Linked DNA regions of Arabidopsis thaliana. The protein of the gene in region 1 purifies or fractionates together with the protein of each later gene. This does not show direct contact. Each region holds a gene or a part of one and is shown on either strand. Other genes may lie near its edges.

What was found. Proteins that work in one complex are often made in the same cells at the same time.
Region 2: the proteins of RbcX2 (region 1) and ACC1 purify together in Arabidopsis thaliana (affinity purification with mass spectrometry, with the first as the bait; one study listed by BioGRID). This does not show direct contact.
Region 3: the proteins of RbcX2 (region 1) and LHCB5 purify together in Arabidopsis thaliana (affinity purification with mass spectrometry, with the first as the bait; one study listed by BioGRID). This does not show direct contact.

What each region holds. Positions count from the first base shown.
Region 1 is NC_003076.8:6,711,001-6,716,740, forward strand, and holds RbcX2 (Chaperonin-like RbcX protein), read right to left. Parts: upstream 2,938-5,740; 5' UTR 2,446-2,937; coding exon 2,164-2,445; intron 2,069-2,163; coding exon 1,977-2,068; intron 1,853-1,976; coding exon 1,795-1,852; coding exon of another isoform or gene 1,765-1,794; exon of another isoform or gene 1,456-1,764; coding exon 1,390-1,455; intron 1,280-1,389; coding exon 1,166-1,279; 3' UTR 972-1,165; downstream 1-971. Other genes in the region: AT5G19850 (alpha/beta-Hydrolases superfamily protein), read right to left, coding at 1-143, 222-314, 436-662; AT5G19860 (transmembrane protein, putative (Protein of unknown function, DUF538)), read right to left, coding at 3,533-3,580, 4,340-4,837; AT5G19870 (transmembrane epididymal protein (DUF716)), read right to left, coding at 5,182-5,740. UniProt on the Arabidopsis thaliana protein: Chaperone involved in RuBisCO assembly process.
Region 2 is NC_003070.9:13,530,737-13,536,991, forward strand, and holds the start of ACC1 (acetyl-CoA carboxylase 1), read left to right. Parts: upstream 1-2,431; 5' UTR 2,432-2,823; exon of another isoform or gene 2,824-3,162; intron 3,163-3,430; 5' UTR 3,431-3,459; coding exon 3,460-3,801; intron 3,802-3,952; coding exon 3,953-4,159; intron 4,160-4,245; coding exon 4,246-4,407; intron 4,408-4,488; coding exon 4,489-4,581; intron 4,582-4,714; coding exon 4,715-4,810; intron 4,811-4,990; coding exon 4,991-5,164; intron 5,165-5,257; coding exon 5,258-5,351; intron 5,352-5,446; coding exon 5,447-5,634; intron 5,635-5,716; coding exon 5,717-5,767; intron 5,768-5,841; coding exon 5,842-5,881; intron 5,882-5,969; coding exon 5,970-6,094; intron 6,095-6,170; coding exon 6,171-6,255. UniProt on the Arabidopsis thaliana protein: Multifunctional enzyme that catalyzes the carboxylation of acetyl-CoA, forming malonyl-CoA, which is used in the plastid for fatty acid synthesis and in the cytosol in various biosynthetic pathways including fatty acid elongation.
Region 3 is NC_003075.7:6,405,377-6,411,173, reverse strand, and holds LHCB5 (light harvesting complex of photosystem II 5), read right to left. Parts: upstream 3,168-5,797; 5' UTR 2,975-3,167; coding exon 2,785-2,974; intron 2,702-2,784; coding exon 2,617-2,701; intron 2,528-2,616; coding exon 2,477-2,527; intron 2,379-2,476; coding exon 2,258-2,378; intron 2,152-2,257; coding exon 2,017-2,151; intron 1,939-2,016; coding exon 1,678-1,938; 3' UTR 1,325-1,677; downstream 1-1,324. Other genes in the region: AT4G10330 (glycine-rich protein), read right to left, coding at 4,038-4,131, 4,218-4,368, 4,476-4,623. UniProt on the Arabidopsis thaliana protein: The light-harvesting complex (LHC) functions as a light receptor, it captures and delivers excitation energy to photosystems with which it is closely associated.

The DNA.
Region 1 (5,740 bases):
CACCCCATGTCTCAAAAGTGTAGAATGGTTCTCCACCAAACTCACGAGGATTCGGTTTATCGGAGTATCCATATCCGATAAGATCGATTGAGTACACCCTATGTGTTTTCCCAAGAATAGGTGTGTTCTTCCTCCAATGGTCACTGATAACATAACAAAAATGTTACTGTTAAACATATGGTTCTCAAGTCCCTATCAGCTAAAGGGGCAATGATTTAGACCTGTTAGCACCGAAACCATGAACCAAGACCAAAGCAGGGCCACTGGTTCCAGCACATTGATATCTTATCGAATAACCTTTCCACTTCCATGTCCTGCAAATACCCACATTTCGTCAATCCACGGATTTTAATCAGAAACCAAGAAAGACCAGTCCAATCGTTAGCTATAAGTTTATATACATAGATTGCAGAAGAAACAGGAAGGTGATATTACAAGGTTCGAACTTGTAGCTCTTCAGAAGAAGCTTCGTCCGTGACGGAAGAACATGAGACGGACACAATTCCCCTCTTAGTCGGAGATCTTACGATTGCGGTCGAAATTGATTGTCGGAGAAAATGGGTTTCGCTGAAACTGATAATCGAAGAGTTCTTGACACGGAACAGCGACGGGAATTCGAAGTTGGTAAAGGGTAGAGCTGCAAAAATGCTAGTCTTCGCCATGAATTTTCGGCGTGGTTCCGTGATGAGTGAGGACTGTAATATAAGTCAAACCAGGTTTTGAAGTTGTTACGAGGACAAGTGTTACGATTTGGACCAACCGCTGTTTTCCTTAATCATGACCACGTCATTGCATTCAAGCCTGTTGTTGCTTGCTTATAAAGGTTGTCAATACTCAAAACTAGTAATCAATTTTTATTATTTTCTTTTCTTTATTTGCAAAATGAGAAGATTGGCATTGTGATTATCATTTTGAGCCTACCAATGTTAATGTGAGTGGTGTGAGCGTAAGAGATGACTGAGAAAGTAAGTTTAGGAGCACAAGAAGGGTGTTGTTTTTTGCCCCTAATATCATATAGTACATGCCAAGAATAGACATCATATACACACTGCTCTTTCACTATAGTAATATGTAATCAAACTAAAAAACTCGAAGTCCTAAAAACTGAGAAGCAAATTGACAAAGCAAATGTTGTGCTGTGGTGTGCGCTGTCTTCTTCAGCCTATTACCTTGAGTTTGTGTCATCGGAAGGCCATATCACGGTCTCCATCAGGCGTTCACGCATCAACGCCAAGTTTTCATCCGATATTTCCTGGTATATCTTCCCATGGTCGCATTTCTACACAACAAACTATACAATATTAACTTTTGAGTCTTTTCTGGTTCCCATGGCAGGAAGGGAAAAACACATAAACCAAAACTGGAGCGAGATATAGCAAGCGATTTTACCTTGATCCATTTGCCATACAAGTGAAGACGCGTGATCATCACTCTTTCTGCAAGCTCCTGACTCTCCTACAAGTAGTTAAGACAAAAAAAATCAAACTCAATTGTCTGTGTTTAAATACCAAGCTCTAAACAAGGTTGAATCAAACATAATTTATCACAACACAGTGTGATTGTAATAAGAACAAATCTATGGAACTGCTATCTCTGTTGCAATACACCAAATCAGAGACAAGTCTTATAAACTTCAGCCCTCACTAACTGCTCATTAACCAACTCACCACAGCTACAATCTGCTACATTCAGTCCTCGGCTAGTTATAGTATACCAGCTGAACTTGTTCAACTAGACCTAATGCATCTTACAGATGATGCTTGTTCATGTGAGATATAAACTAAACTTGTTTACCTTGCCGAGGGCACGGAGGAAACGTTTGCCATCCGTCGGTCTGTTTGTTATGATATGACTGTTTTACAACAAAGGAGAAACATAATTAAGACCACAAGGCAAAAATGATCGGAGTAAAGTGTTTTTGTTAAATCTAATCCTATACAGAACTTTAATCAAATGATAAAGCATAAGAAACTTACTTATAGAACCAAGTGTATTGAGGAGGATTCATTTCGTACAGCTGATGAAGAACCGTCCTCACAGCTTTGTATGTAAAATAATTAACAATTTGCTACAAAATCGAAAGCCAGCCATCCATAATAAGGTTATTGCCAAAGGTCAAATCTTTGTCTATGAAAACAAGGGTTCATGCAAAAGTTCTCTCACCTTTTGTACATCACCGAAGGTATCGTCGTAATTACCAGCAACATCCTCATTCACAATCAAGAGCTTTTTGCTCTTTCGATTCGCAATTCTCGATACACGCTTCGGAGAAAGCCTAAAAACAATGCGTGAGCCAGTGAAAGAGCTTCCTAATTCCAGATTTCTTGCTTTGCCAAGGATCTTCTTCCTCCTGATGGTACCCGTCGTGTGAGCATCCAGACATAAACATGGACTGCTCGAAGAGTCCATCACCGGTGAGCCAACAACAAACCAAGCACTCACCATTACTCCAAACCAAACAGCAAGATCAAGACTTTTCCCACCAGAAATTACCAAACAGTTCGTAGATTCCCTTAGATCGATTGTAAGAATCAGTGGGAAAAGAATATGGAAGATAAAACCCTGACCCTGGTTTGTTATAGCAAAACAGAAAACAAGAATTGGGTCTGTAAGATGGAAAATGGCCGTTGAATCTTAGCCAGTCAAAATCAGGGACTTGTGATATTTATTTATTTTTCCTAGCAAGCAGAGGCAAAGGCAAAGACAAACAAGAAAAGCACCGGGTGGGCTTTCGGGTTTACGTGGACGCCTCCCTAAAATAAGGTGTATTTCTTGTCGTCTTGCAGCTTGTAAGTTAGAAAAAACATGGGAGAATTGCAGAATCACGAGAAAGTCTTCAAAATCACGAGTTCGGGCATCGGTCTAAAATGCTTATGAATCCAAGGCATAATCAAAGGCCGGATTTTTTTGGTTACCAATGGAGAAAATAAGTTTGCTATAAGACTCTCGGCCATCTTGTTCGGCATATCTCAGCCACCATGACTCTCGAATCAGTAGTTCAAAACCATTCCACTATCACATCAACAAGGACATCAATGTACATCAAGGCTTGTGCTCAGCCCTTTCCTTCATCACAGCCACTAAAACCCTTACGGTCACCGAGAATGATCAAGTTCTCAAGCAGATCATTCCGAACTTGAATGTATTCTTAGTATAATCTGGTAAGAGTCAAACAGATCAAGTTCTCAAGCAGATCACCTTCTAATGTAATATATGAAACAACCTATCAGCTCTTAGAATGCATCTTCCATTCGTTATGCCATACATGATACAACAACTAGTAGTAAGGAGCTTAACGGCCACACAGTCTAACTATGGTGGTGAGGAACGAACTCGGGGACATTTAGTCATGAGATACAACATTTTCGTGGAAACCAGTTTTAACAAGACGTACATAATGGATATATCGACATTTCATACCAAGTCTTACAGAAAAGACTTGTCTAGTTATTGTATGTATATGTACAAACATGACTTAGAGACTCAACTCTATCTGCGTGTTGTCGCAGACTCTGTGACTGCCAAGAGTGTTTTACTCGGTGATTAACATTTCCGCTTCATCCATCATTCCTTGCCCTTTCTGAGAAAAACAAAAGCTTCTGTTAATTGCAGGTACCACCAATTCCCTACAAACCAGCCTGAATCACTTTCGCGAGTTGGCTGGTTTGAAAGGATCTAAGGCAATGACCATTTCAAGAACCAGACAAAAACCATCAAAGATCGGAAAACATTTGCTAGAGGCTTGTACAACTGACATTGCAAGAAATGCAGAATGACCTACTTTAGTATTATAAACAAACAGCATTCCACTTTTCTCAGCTACGCATTAAGCTATCACTACGAACTAAAAGAACAAAAGAGAACCAAACAGAGGAAAAAACTCTGCTACTATCAGTTTCAACTTTCAATGATGTATGTCCCTCAAAAACCAGCAATGTGAAAGCATTAAATACAGTTTCTTTTCACAAGTCTTAGATAGATAAATTTCAACCCTTTCTCAAGCTTAGTCTGATTCTCCAAAGACTTTGCTTTTAAGCCTTCTGTGGTTCAATTTTGAGAAAGCTGCCATGTTCATGTTGTTCCTCAGTCAATGTGTAAATTGCATTCAACAGATATATATTATATGTACCCACGCATTTACCCATAATCAATGCCTAATGAAATGAAGAAACAATCTACAAATCCAACAATGGTCAGTGCAACTTGAACCCAGAAACTCAGAGATTCCAGAATCTATCAGTATCTCCTATAAATCCTCAAGAACCCTTAAAGCCCAGAAATATCTTCAATCATATCAACCAAATTTACGGCCCCAAAAACGCAAAGATCTAATCTTTACCTCGAGAAAACTCTTCCATGAATCTCCACAAGAGCCAGAGACACCATTATCGTGACAAGAATGTATAGTCTTAAACTGGTCAATATCAAGCTTCTTATTGATAAAGCCAACTTTGAAGTAGATTGAATCAGAAGGTGGAAGATCGACCTTGATCTCATCGACATCGAGCCAAATAAAGAATTTCTTCACCTGAATACCCTTGAGCTCGGTGATTGAACCGTAACCGATACGACCAGATATGGTCTTATCGTAGTGAACGAGGTAGTCAAATTCAATCTCACAGGAATTGGGCAAGTGAACGACGAATCGGCCATCGTCGGAGAGGGTGAAATCGGTGACGGTGTCCGGTAAGAGACCGCTTGGGAGACCGTACTTTGGGAGGAGTTCGTAAACGGTGGAAATCGAATCCGGGTCGGGTTCGTTGAGGGAATGGGTCGTCGTAGTGAAGAGGGTCAAAGAGAAGATGAAGATTGAGATGAAGAAAGGATAAAGGGCCATACTTTGTTTGAGGATAGAGAGAGAGAGAGAAGACTTCTGAGATTGATTGATTTTGTAGAGAATCGTTTTTGAGATTAGTTTGACTCTTTTTTTTAGACCTAAGAAAATTGTAGACGTAATTGCCACGTCTCATCTAAAATTTAGTGGTCGTTTACAATAATTACACAATATGTTTTTATAATATATACAAATGATCAAGCTTCTCTGAATTGGAAATAAGAAAACATTATAAGAAAATTGGTAGTTTTTAGTGGGAATGATTTTCAAACTAGTGGCTCGACTCCATTTTGTGACTCAGCATCATGAACTTCAGTCATGGTGATCATGATCTCCATGTTTTTGGATTAATCCTTTGTTCGAAGCTGAGAGTATTCAATTTTCTCACCGTAGATCCTTTGCAAAAATATGTAAAACCACATTGCAAAGATGGTTATGATCACAAGAAACCAGCTGAATTGGATATTAACCAATGATATTGCTCTATGAAGAGCTTTGACGTCTGAGCATCTAATGGTGTGTTTACCCTCTTCAATGTGAAGGAAACAATCCTTGGGAACTAAACTTGGCGTCCAAAGCATGCAAGCCATTGACATAAGCCATATTCCTTGGAAGGAAACACTAAGTGACCGAACAAAACTCAATATGAAGCTACTTGGTAAGGCGATTCCCAAGAGTGTTGTGACCAAGGAGACGAAAACTACGAGTTGGAGCAATAAATGGTAGTGGCCCTCAACGCCTGTGTGGTCTGACGAGTGGAAATGGAAGAGGAAGAGTTGTTGGGCGAAGGCGAGGGCCGCGATCAAGTTGATGAGGGATCGATGAGCTATTGGTCTTGTTTTATCAAAGACGATGGCGAAAGCTGCATAGGTGATGAAGGTGAAGGAGATGCAAGAGTGTTCAAAG
Region 2 (6,255 bases), on another chromosome or scaffold:
TTTTATTCTTATTTTAAATAATCAAACAAAATGAAGAACCATATTTGACTGTGTTTTTTTGCGATTTTTAAATTATTTTATTGTAAACTAAACTGTGGAATTATTTATTTTGTTGATATTTTAATTTTTTTATTCCTACAAATAGTTAAGAATTTAATATTGGAAACATGAAACTTGAATGCATGTATTTCTATCACTACAAAATAAAATTGATGGTTGATTTTAACATAACCTTTTTTATTGGTCAAACATTTTAACGATCTGATGATTGATTTTATGGTTTGTTACTTCTAATAAAAAGAAAAATATCTCATTATTAAAAACGAAATTTCTATGTATAAAATTATCGCTATATTATCACTTTTACTGAACCGATGTCAAATTACTCGATTACAACATCAATTGTTATAATTGATGCTAAACTACATAGTTTGTATCATTTATTAATAAATAATTTTTAAATTGATATTGTTTATTTTTGTGATACTATGTAAGTGCTGCAATCAACCATTTTTCTTGTATTGTATGAAAATGATTTGCCTAAAATCATATATCAGCTAATCAAAGAGATAGATGCATATGTGCTAATTAATTAAACAATACATATGAAATTATACCTCTTATATAAAACCATCGACAAAGAGTTGTGATGAATGATGATTTCTGTATATTAATGATTTTTGGTGAAACATATAAATGATTTTATAAATATGAATGGTTTGCAATACAATATGCTTTTATGAATTATAGTCGTGATAAATAAAGTAAAAGCATATCTGAGACACTAACATATACGATATAGTCTAGAATGTGGTAAAAGTTTTTATTATCCTTAGCTTAACATGGCCATGCATATTATTGTGAGATGACCACCTCATGCGTATGAGGTAGATAGATGAAGAATTGGTAAAAATCTATGAATTGATTTTACATGACTAACTTGAACTTGGGTGCAACACTAATCTAGATCTTGGTCCAATATACGTTCTACTAAATGAGAAACAAAACATTAAAACATTTGAAACACATAATTTACAAGCAAGAGGAAAATAAAATGTTGGTAACCTAAACCACCCAACCTTGTGTCAACGACTCAACGTACACAAATACAATTCCTCTTGGCTTTAATCTATTATATTACACATTCCTAAGACAATAATAAATATTTTCTTTAAAACGGAAACAGACCGACCAAATAAACGAAATAATAAATCTCATACAATGCGATCCATTTGCTATGGCCTCTTGTGACGTATTTGAAGTTCATTTAACACAGACGGTAGAAATTTATTGTCTTCTTCATGGCTTACCTAATACTATTTTAAAATAGATATCTTTCATTGCTTAACAAATTTATACCATTCTTCTTTTATTCGGCACAAATCTATGTTTTGCTATCATTTGCTTTGTTCGGATACAAATGTAAAAGAGATAGTTATGTAGTAAACTAAATGTAGTAAACTTTTAAATAAGAAAATTATGAAATAAACTCAAATCAGCATTTTCTTGATACTTTCTAATAGTCTTAAATATACACAAGAACAAAACATAAGTATATAACCATAAATTGAAGTTAGCTAAAGAGAACATAAATCTAAAGATGGTAAAGGAATAATATTTCTTGATTTGGCCTGCGAATATATTGAGAAAAAAGTTTCCAACAAGTTAAATGTATCTTATATAAAGCATTAAGAATGGTATATATTAATTTAAATATAACCTAGAAAAACTATGCAAAAGATTTGTTTGGGTTTGAAGATTATCCACTTAAATTTGGCAATTAAATTCAAGAAACTATTGGTAAATTATATATGCCAAAAACTAAACTGGCAAAAAATATTGAAATCTCCGGAGATAACCGAAAAACCTAAGTTTTATCGATTAAATCTAATCATATTCTCTAGATTTTCTCTGAAATTAAAAATTATTCTGATGTCTATAAAAAATCACAAATTCCATATAAAATTTCCTGTAATCATATATTTTTGGTTTGGTTAAAATTTTTTTTTTTCCAAAACTTGAAATAAAACTTTGTATAATAATACTATGCAATAGATTTGTTCGGGTTAGAAGATTATCCATCTAAATTTAGCAACTAAATTCAAAAAACAATTGATAACATAATATATCTCTGTAAACTATATATGCCAACATAAAAAATATTTTTTTCTGCAAAATAAACTGGCAAAAATTATTGAAATCTTCGAAAATGACCGAAAAACCGAAGTTTTATCGATTAAATCTTGTCATATTCTCTAGATCTTCTCTCTGAAATAAAAATTGTTTTGATGTCTATAAAAAATCACAAATTCCATATAAAATTTCTACAGTATTCAATTTTTTTTTTGTTTTGGTAAATAAAAAAACTTGGTTCTAAAACTGGAAATAAAACTTGAAATAAAACTTTGTATAATACTACAATGAGAAGCATTGGGAAATAATATAGCGGAAAAAACAAGAGTGGGGGGATGAAATGAGGTAGCTGAGGAACAAGTACGGCGCCTCCTAACAAAAAGGGATCGAAAAAAAACAATGGAGGTGTGGAGTGTGGCGGAGGCAGAGACCACGTGCTCTCTCTTCTCTTCTTCTCCTTCATCTTCTTCCTCTCTTCATCATCTCCCATTATTAACTCTTCTGACCCCACTTTCCTTCTCCTCTTCTAACTCCAACCTACCCTCTTCTCTCTTCCCTCTCTTAAAACCCTTTCTCTCTCCCTCATTCTCTTCCATGTCCTCCTCTCTGTTATTCTTTAGCTAAACACCCACAATTCTGGCCTTCTCTGATGCCTCTTTAAGCCAATTTGTATCTCTGCTTCCTTACAAGGTTTAAAGTTTTCTGCTTTTGCTGATTTTGTTATTTGGGTGTTTTAAAGTTTTGATTTTTATGGTTTAGCAATCGGAATTTGGACTTGTTTTTGTGATTTTTTACTTGTTGTTGGAGTTGGGTTTTGTTGAGTTTTTGTTATTTGGGTGTTTTAAAGTTTTGATTTTTATGGTTTAGCAATGAGAATTTTGCACTTGTTTTTGTGATTTTAACTTGTTGTTGAAGTTGGGTTTTGTTGAGTTTTCGACTTCAATATTGTAGAATTTTAGTGGGTTTGGGGAGTTTATAATCATTAGTTCTGAGATCTCTCAGATTTCTAAAGGAACTCATTATTATTGGGTAATGATGCTTTCTTACTTGCAAGATCTTTGCTTATGATTGCGTTTTGCTTTTTCTATACTCTTTTTTTCTTCATGTGATTACGCAAAAGCATTGCTGTCATCTTTGTTAATTCCACCTTGTAATCTGAAGCATCTTTGTTTGTTAGATTAAGCAACCAGATTAGGAATTGTTTTAATATTCCTGTTATGTTCTTTCAAGTCATTTTGGTAGATAGCATCAGTTTCTTTGTAAAGTGATTCAGTATGTGTTTATGGCTGTTTTGTAGATATATCTGAAGCTTAAAGGGCAGTGACAATGGCTGGCTCGGTTAACGGGAATCATAGTGCTGTAGGACCTGGTATAAATTATGAGACGGTGTCTCAAGTGGATGAGTTCTGTAAAGCACTTAGAGGGAAAAGGCCGATCCATAGTATTTTGATAGCTAACAATGGAATGGCGGCTGTGAAGTTTATACGTAGTGTCAGAACATGGGCTTATGAAACATTTGGTACGGAAAAAGCCATATTGTTGGTGGGGATGGCAACCCCTGAAGACATGCGGATCAATGCGGAGCATATCAGAATCGCTGATCAGTTTGTTGAGGTTCCCGGAGGAACCAACAATAACAATTATGCTAACGTTCAGCTGATTGTGGAGGTGAATCCAACTTTTGGGAACTACTATTATCTGAATTATCGTGTTTTACTGTACAGAACACATGTATTAAGCTCAATTTCAGCAATGAAGTTTTGGTCTTTGGAGTTATTTTTCATTCATCTGAACATCTTTGTCTACAACCTGTGTGCAGATGGCTGAAGTAACACGCGTGGATGCAGTTTGGCCTGGTTGGGGTCATGCATCTGAAAACCCCGAATTACCTGATGCCCTAGATGCAAAAGGAATCATATTTCTTGGTCCTCCAGCATCTTCAATGGCAGCACTGGGAGATAAGATTGGTTCTTCGTTGATTGCACAAGCTGCTGATGTACCCACTCTGCCATGGAGTGGTTCCCATGTAAGTAAATTTACTCTTGTTAAGCTTAGCTTGTGTACCAGAGGTATATATTTTCATTTTTATATACTGAATTCCTATGTTTTCAGGTTAAAATACCTCCTAATAGCAACTTGGTAACCATCCCAGAGGAGATCTACCGGCAAGCATGTGTCTACACAACTGAAGAAGCGATTGCTAGCTGTCAAGTTGTCGGTTACCCAGCAATGATCAAAGCATCGTGGGGTGGTGGTGGTAAAGGAATCAGGAAGGTCAGCTTCTGTAGATATGCCTTTTGATTGTGGACTAAGCCGATTACTATATAAGTACTTATTCTGGTTTTAAATTTATAGGTTCATAATGATGATGAGGTTAGGGCTCTATTCAAGCAAGTTCAGGGTGAGGTCCCAGGCTCACCAATATTCATAATGAAGGTTGCGTCACAGGTATGGCTGCTTAACTATATCTCTTGATCGAAGCTTAGCTGAGTTCTTATCTGGTTACTTTACTAGAGAATTTAAAGTAGTAATGCATTGCTTTTCTTTACATTTCATTTTTTCTAATTTTTTTTTTGTATAGAGTCGGCATCTAGAGGTCCAGCTGCTCTGTGACAAGCATGGAAATGTTTCAGCTCTGCATAGCCGTGATTGTAGCGTCCAGAGAAGACATCAAAAGGTTTGTTAGTGGTTGATTCTGGATTTTTAATTGTCTGGTTAGTGGTTATATAGAAAAACATTCTGTCCATTTATTCTTATATAGTTATATACATCAATTTTTGTTCTCCAACTGAGTTATAGTCCCTTTTAGCGATTGCAAATTATTGCATGAGCTCTTACTTTATCGTTTGTATCGTAGATCATAGAGGAGGGTCCAATTACTGTGGCTCCGCCAGAAACTGTCAAGAAACTTGAACAAGCAGCTAGAAGGTTGGCTAAGAGTGTTAACTATGTTGGAGCTGCTACTGTTGAGTATCTCTACAGTATGGACACTGGGGAGTACTACTTCTTAGAGCTTAACCCTCGCTTACAGGTTGGTTTCATACTGCAGCTTTTTGCGTTGAAATATATTGAAGGTCCGGACTTGAAAATTGAATGACTTGTTTAACTTGATGTTTGAGGTCAGGTTGAGCATCCTGTCACTGAGTGGATTGCCGAGATAAATCTTCCTGCTGCCCAAGTTGCTGTGGGGATGGGAATTCCTCTCTGGCAAATCCCTGGTATAATCTACGTCCTTATTTCTTACAGGCAGCGGTTCCTCTTCTTTATCCATGCACACGAATAATGTACTGTCTGTTTCTCTTTAATTTCGTAGAGATAAGACGGTTCTATGGAATAGAACATGGTGGAGGTTATGATTCTTGGCGAAAAACATCTGTTGTAGCCTTCCCTTTTGATTTTGATAAAGCTCAATCTATAAGGCCAAAAGGTCATTGTGTGGCTGTACGTGTGACAAGTGAGGATCCTGATGACGGGTTCAAACCAACCAGCGGTAGAGTTCAGGTAATGTGATATCTGTGGAATGCAAAGTGAAAGTTCATTCACTGAGAACTCTGTGGGTAACACTTGTATGAACTTGCAACAGGAGTTGAGTTTTAAGAGCAAGCCAAATGTGTGGGCGTACTTCTCTGTCAAGGTAATTATATCTATAGAGACTCTGCTATATAAGTGTTTCACAATGTTTTAAATTTTACGACTACTTTTTTACAGTCTGGTGGAGGCATCCACGAGTTCTCGGATTCCCAGTTTGGTAAGTTGAATGAAATAAATGTATTTGGGCTGCTAGGTTCTTTTCTTGAGTTTACAAAAATTGAAACTTTCTTTAATCTTCCATTCAGGACATGTTTTTGCATTTGGGGAATCCAGAGCCCTGGCGATAGCGAATATGGTTCTTGGGCTAAAAGAAATTCAGATCCGTGGAGAAATTAGGACTAACGTTGACTACACGATCGACCTTTTACATGTACGTTTCTTCTTGCACACAAACTTACACTCTGTGTATGCAATACCCTGACAAGATCATTTCAATTGTCAACCAGGCTTCTGATTACCGTGATAACAAAATTCACACTGGTTGGTTGGATAGTAGGATTGCTATGCGGGTCAGAGCTGAGAGGCCTCCAT
Region 3 (5,797 bases), on another chromosome or scaffold:
ATTTTTTGTTTCTAGAGATATATATCCGTAAATGTTAATGAGTTTGCAAAGTGAAGAACTTGAGCACGATCATTCTTTAAAACACTTCAATTTTCAATTTTGATCGTTGTTTTCATGCCTTATTTTGCTTTGGATTTTGCATATTCCACAAAATTTTGTCGTTTGGTTTTGCAAGAACTATAGAGAATTGGATGCATAAGAGTGACTTAAATTGCCATGTGTATGAAACTGATCGATTGGAAGGTTAATTATTCTCTACTCCGAGGTTTATGTCAAGTGCTTATATTGGTAAAAAAAATCTTTAATTCCCCGAATATTGCGAACCGGAAATTTGTAGAGCAATTAAGTTGCAGTTCTACTAAATGAGGATGAAGTTATGTCTGTAAATCTAGGTGTCTACTTTAGCTTTGAAGTTTACAAATCTCACTGCTATAGTAATAGTCTAGAGTGTTAGCGACGACTCATGGCCTCTCTAGACTATATGTACACAACATGAAAACCCTAATCCTAAGAAAATCGTAAATCTCCACGAATGGATAAACCTTGCACATCAATGTTATATTTTCCTTAAGTTGTTGTAGAGAATATTTAGTGAATCTCTACAATAACTCGTATCTTCAAACTCTACGCAAAATTAGCTCCCACGTCGTCTTTTACATGTTACATATCATGTCTCTAGTTTCGTCACGTCAGCTTCCATACTCTTGATGTAGGACCGCGAGTTCCAACACTTGATGTGTTAGTTTTACAAATTAAACGAGGGTTTGGGTTTATAAAGATGAGTTCAGATTTAGATTTAATTTTTTTTTTTTTTAAATAATACTAATATTAATAATCAAAACCCCTTTAATGGGCCTCGGGCTGAGGCCTTACAAAAACATAGATCATGGAATCTGACGACTACACCAGAGGACGAGTTCTAATCCCGACGGTGGTCGGAAGTAGAGACGACCTACTTGTTAAAAGTAAATGTAATTGTTAAATGTTGGTTAGATGTGACAAAATATCAAGCAATATAAATGCTTGATTTGCTTAAAATGGTTATCACTTATTGAACCTTTGATCTGACAGTGAAAACATTCTTATTTTGAATCGAAGCAAATGTACATGCCTAGCTAGAGTTTAGAATCCAATTGGGGTTGTGATTTCTGCAACTTCAAAGCTCACAGAGTGAAAACACTAATTTGTGTTTTGCAATCGAAGCAAAATTCACATTTTTATGACACATCGGTATTACTGTATGAGACATGCAATTGTTGAGAGTGAGTAATACTAGTTCTTTACAATGTAAGAATGATTAATTAGTTGTGAAAATATTCTGCTACTGCTCATTGCTATTTGATCTTCTGCTACTTAATATTGTTCAACGGATCACATCTCTCGACTAACTTATATAGTCCCAAATTCCATCACAATATTAGTTGTGAAACTTTTTACCATACTCGCCACTAGTGATAAAATCGCAATGTATGACTAAATTGTGACAGAGCGTTCTTGGTAACAACAAATATTAAACCAATGGGTGACTATGTATATCCTTAGAAGCATGATAAAGCACCATTGAAAATTTGAAATATATCAAGAAGATTCAGATGGAAGTTTTTTTAACATTGTCAAAAGGAGTTCCAATCGAACAAAGTGTACATTTTGGAAGCTCTTAAAAAAAGTAGAAATGGCTTAGAGAGTGGGAGCTCTCTCGGCAGTTCCAGCGATGACGGTAAGCAAGTTGTTTCCAAAAGGATCACTGAGATGCTTTGCAAGGTTCTCAACAGGACCTTCTCCGGTAACATACGCTTGGATAAAGAAACCGAGCATCGCAAACATGGCTAATCTCCCGTTCTTGATCTCTTTGACTTTGAGAAGAGCTCCTTGCTCAGGGTCCTTAGCAAGGCCTAGAGGATCAAATGGACCTCCTGGGTGTAGCTTGTCCTCGAAATCCTACCAAATATTTGCATTTCAAGTTTAGTCATTTTCCCATGAGTAATAGCTAAATGTAGAGACTAGAGAGTAATGTACCAATCCGTTGGTGATTCTGTAGTACTCGGCTCCACCGAGGAGAACAACCTCAGCAACTACGGCGAGAACAAGGTTGATAGGGATGTTCTTGCCAAAGTAGTTCAATGTGTTTCCATCAAGAAGCAAAGCACCAGTCTGCAATCAGTATTCCAAAAAGAACCATCTCATCACATCAACACATTCTTGCTTTGCTAAAGAATCTAAGTCTGAATGTAAATAAAGATTAGACGTAGGCAAGAACCTTAAACCAGACAGCTTCAGGGCCACAGTTAGCGCCATATTTGTTTAAAGCTTCAGGAATGATGAAACCAGCTGCTCCTAACATAGCCCATCTCGCATGGATCAATTCAAAAGCTTGGTATCTACAACCACATTCATTAAAGAACCAATCTTAATGACAAATTCGATAGATATAGCTCAAAGCAAACACAAAAGGTTTAGGATAAAAGAATCTACTTACTTAGCAAAGTTCTCAGGCTTCTTTCCAAGACCAAATGGGTCATAACCATAACTGCAAATTCAGATTCAGACCAATAAACCTTAAGCACAGAATCCAAAAGTAGGCATACATACAAAGAGAGACATGAAAAAGTGTCTTACTCTCCAGCAACTTCACCGTTTAAGTACTCTGGGATCTCTGATCTATCCAAAAGACCATCAGGCAAGAAAATTCTCCTGTCAGGACCTGCATAAGAGTCACAATTACAAACACATTCACAAAGAAACAGAGCAAGAAATGATTATAAAAGGGATTTAGAAGACACATACCATACCACTTGGCGAGCTCATCGCTAGTCTCAGAGACAGCCTTGGACTTAGCAGGAGCTGGCTTTTTCTTAGAGAAGAGAGCAACAGTCTTGAACGTGGATGGGCTTGATGCCAACGGAGCAGACGATCTTGAAACTGCCCTGAAGTTAAGGGGAGTACCAAGCATTTCCGACACACCCAAAGACGCCATTCTTTTAGTCCAAAGTTTCAAGCTTTACTCTGGTTTAACACTAGGAAGAGCTAAGTGAAAGAAGGAGGAAGAGACGAAACTGCTCCTATAAGGTGGAGAGTAGGATTCGTTCAGGATTTTGATTGGTCTGGATTGAAAATGTGAAATATGATTCTGTCCTCTGATTGGTTGTGGATGCTGATGTGGCTTTTAGATTGGTTTTTGTTGGATAATTTATTTTATCCATATCCTCTGTTTCTCCTTTTGTGTGGCTAAGCTTTCACCTATACAGCAAAATGTGTTACAAGAATCTCAAACACATGAAAATCTCAACTGTTAAATGTCATCCACAAGCCTTTCACAGTCCTAGTTGGGGTTTTCAGTAAATTCCTTGGGACATTTGGAATCACTGTGGTCCTGTTTACTACCGTAATGTAGACGACAACCGGAATTTTCATATAGACGTAAAACTCCCAAGCTCAACGGTTAGATTTTCACATTGTATCAACAGTTATGAACATACTCATTACACCAAAAAGAGAAACGAATCATCCGACTAGTCCTAGACGTGAACATACTCTTTCTACAAGGAGTTTCCCACAATTCTATAACATATACATCATGTGGATCGAAACTGAAGCGATTGAGCCGCAGGATCATGTACATAGAGAATACGAAAATTTAATCATCTTGGTTCACAGTGCCGGTTCACACACAGTACTACGGTAGAATCGAAAGAGCTATAATGAATTTATGCCCTTTGGCCCTAGAGCTGAGCTCACTGTGCCACTATACGCACTATTCTACCTCCTTAAACTGAGAGAAAATCTCAAACTCAACCTCCATATTGATCCAAGTTGAGCCATAAAGAACAACTCATAGCACCAAAAATCAGCACTCAAACCATACACATTACCAGAATGATAAATCAGCCACCTAAATTATGCGAATCCATCTTTATACCATACGTAAAATTGTACAAAAAGAAAGGAGATTATCACTAGCCCCAAATCTACATTATTGATCTAAGAACAAACCAAACACTACCATTTACTTGGAAGCTGCAACAAATCCTAAAAGTTCATCATTTTAACCACTTGTCGATTTCATTTGTAGTAGCTTTCACAAGCTTCTTCGTGCTAACAACAAGTTCATCAATCAGTGAATCAACTTCATTCCTGTCAACAAATCACCAAAGTCAAAATCATCATCTTCTTCTTCAAATCCTTAATCACTAAAAATCTAATTGCAGACAAATACTCACAGAGATGGTTTTCCAACGTTGTAATAAGAACGAGAGTGATCATAAGCAGCTCCTCTTCCAACACCATAGCCAAAACCTACACCAATTCCACAACCAGCTCCAAATCCAAGACCAAATTGTAATCCAGGAACTCCTGGTCCGAATCCTACACCTGTTTTCATCAAACCAATCTCTACTCTCTTAAACCAAAACTATCTATAAATAGCTTCGAGCGATTCGCGAGTCTGCGATCAAAATTGGGAGAAATTAGAAATTTACCTCCGATAAGACCGGCGCCGAAACCAAATCCGCAACCGACACCGAGTCCAAAAGCTGGACCAACTTTTCCAATGTCTCTGATCCTAACTTGGGGAAGTTTCCAGAGCAATCCTTTGTCATCGTCTCCGGTTCTTCTTCTGTTGCTCATCGTCCCTTTCGCTCTCTCTTTCGGCGTGGATTCGCCAATACATACTTTAAATGGGCCTATATTATAAGGCGCACTCTTATTTCTCAAGGCCCAACTTCAGCCCAATAGTCATATAGATCTCATTTCACAAGCGATATTTGTTATGTTTATTTTATTTTAATCTTTTGTTTTATATCATAATGAATTTTATAGAAGATATCTGTTATGTTTATATTCATAATGAATTTGTTTTATATCATAATAATATGGATTTTCATTAACAACATTTTTTTTAATACATAAAACTAAAAAACCCACAATTATTCTCAAATTTTCACTTTGTTTTCAGTTACTTTATATATATTTGCCAAACATATTATATAATATATGAAGATTTGTTCTTACATATATTTAATGGATTGATGCCTCATTAGTTTTATTCTCAATTTCAAAACTAAAATTAATAACAAATCTTTCGTAAAACTATTAAATTTTAGATTCAACTAGATTAAACTCCATCCAATATGCATGTTTAATTTTTAAAACTAAAATAAATTTAACAAAAAGATATATTAAAATCTTATTGTAAGTAGAAAATAAATATATAATATTTTATTTTGAGAATTGTTTATTTATATATTCGTTTTTTCCTTATTCGAAAAATATTATACATGGAAATTACTAGTCAAATCATCATCTAATTTACATCTATTTACAAATCTATCGTCTACTTTACCACTAAAAATGTGTTTACTCACAATCATATTTTCTTGTTGAAGTATTCTCATTCCCACCACGTATAAAATGATTATATGAATGCATAAAGCCAACTACATGTGTTTTTATTTTCACTTTCACATAGTTTTTTAACCACTAAAATTATTGATTCATAAAATATTTTGAAAGAAAATATATCACATAGCAATAATTAATGATTTATTTATAAGAAAAACTAGAATAAGTAAAAATTACTCGATCGCAATGAGTCTATAATAAACCAATAAAGGTTGAGAAATTTGATTGGACAAAATTATAAGCACAATGATAAAAGATTAAGGCTTATAGATTCTATCGCAAGTAATAATTCTTTTCATTTTATATAAAACTATTTTGCATTTAAAAATATGTTTATCATTATTTGTTGCATATTTTGTACGAGAAAATTATTTGAAAAAATTCTATGCATGTTTTAATG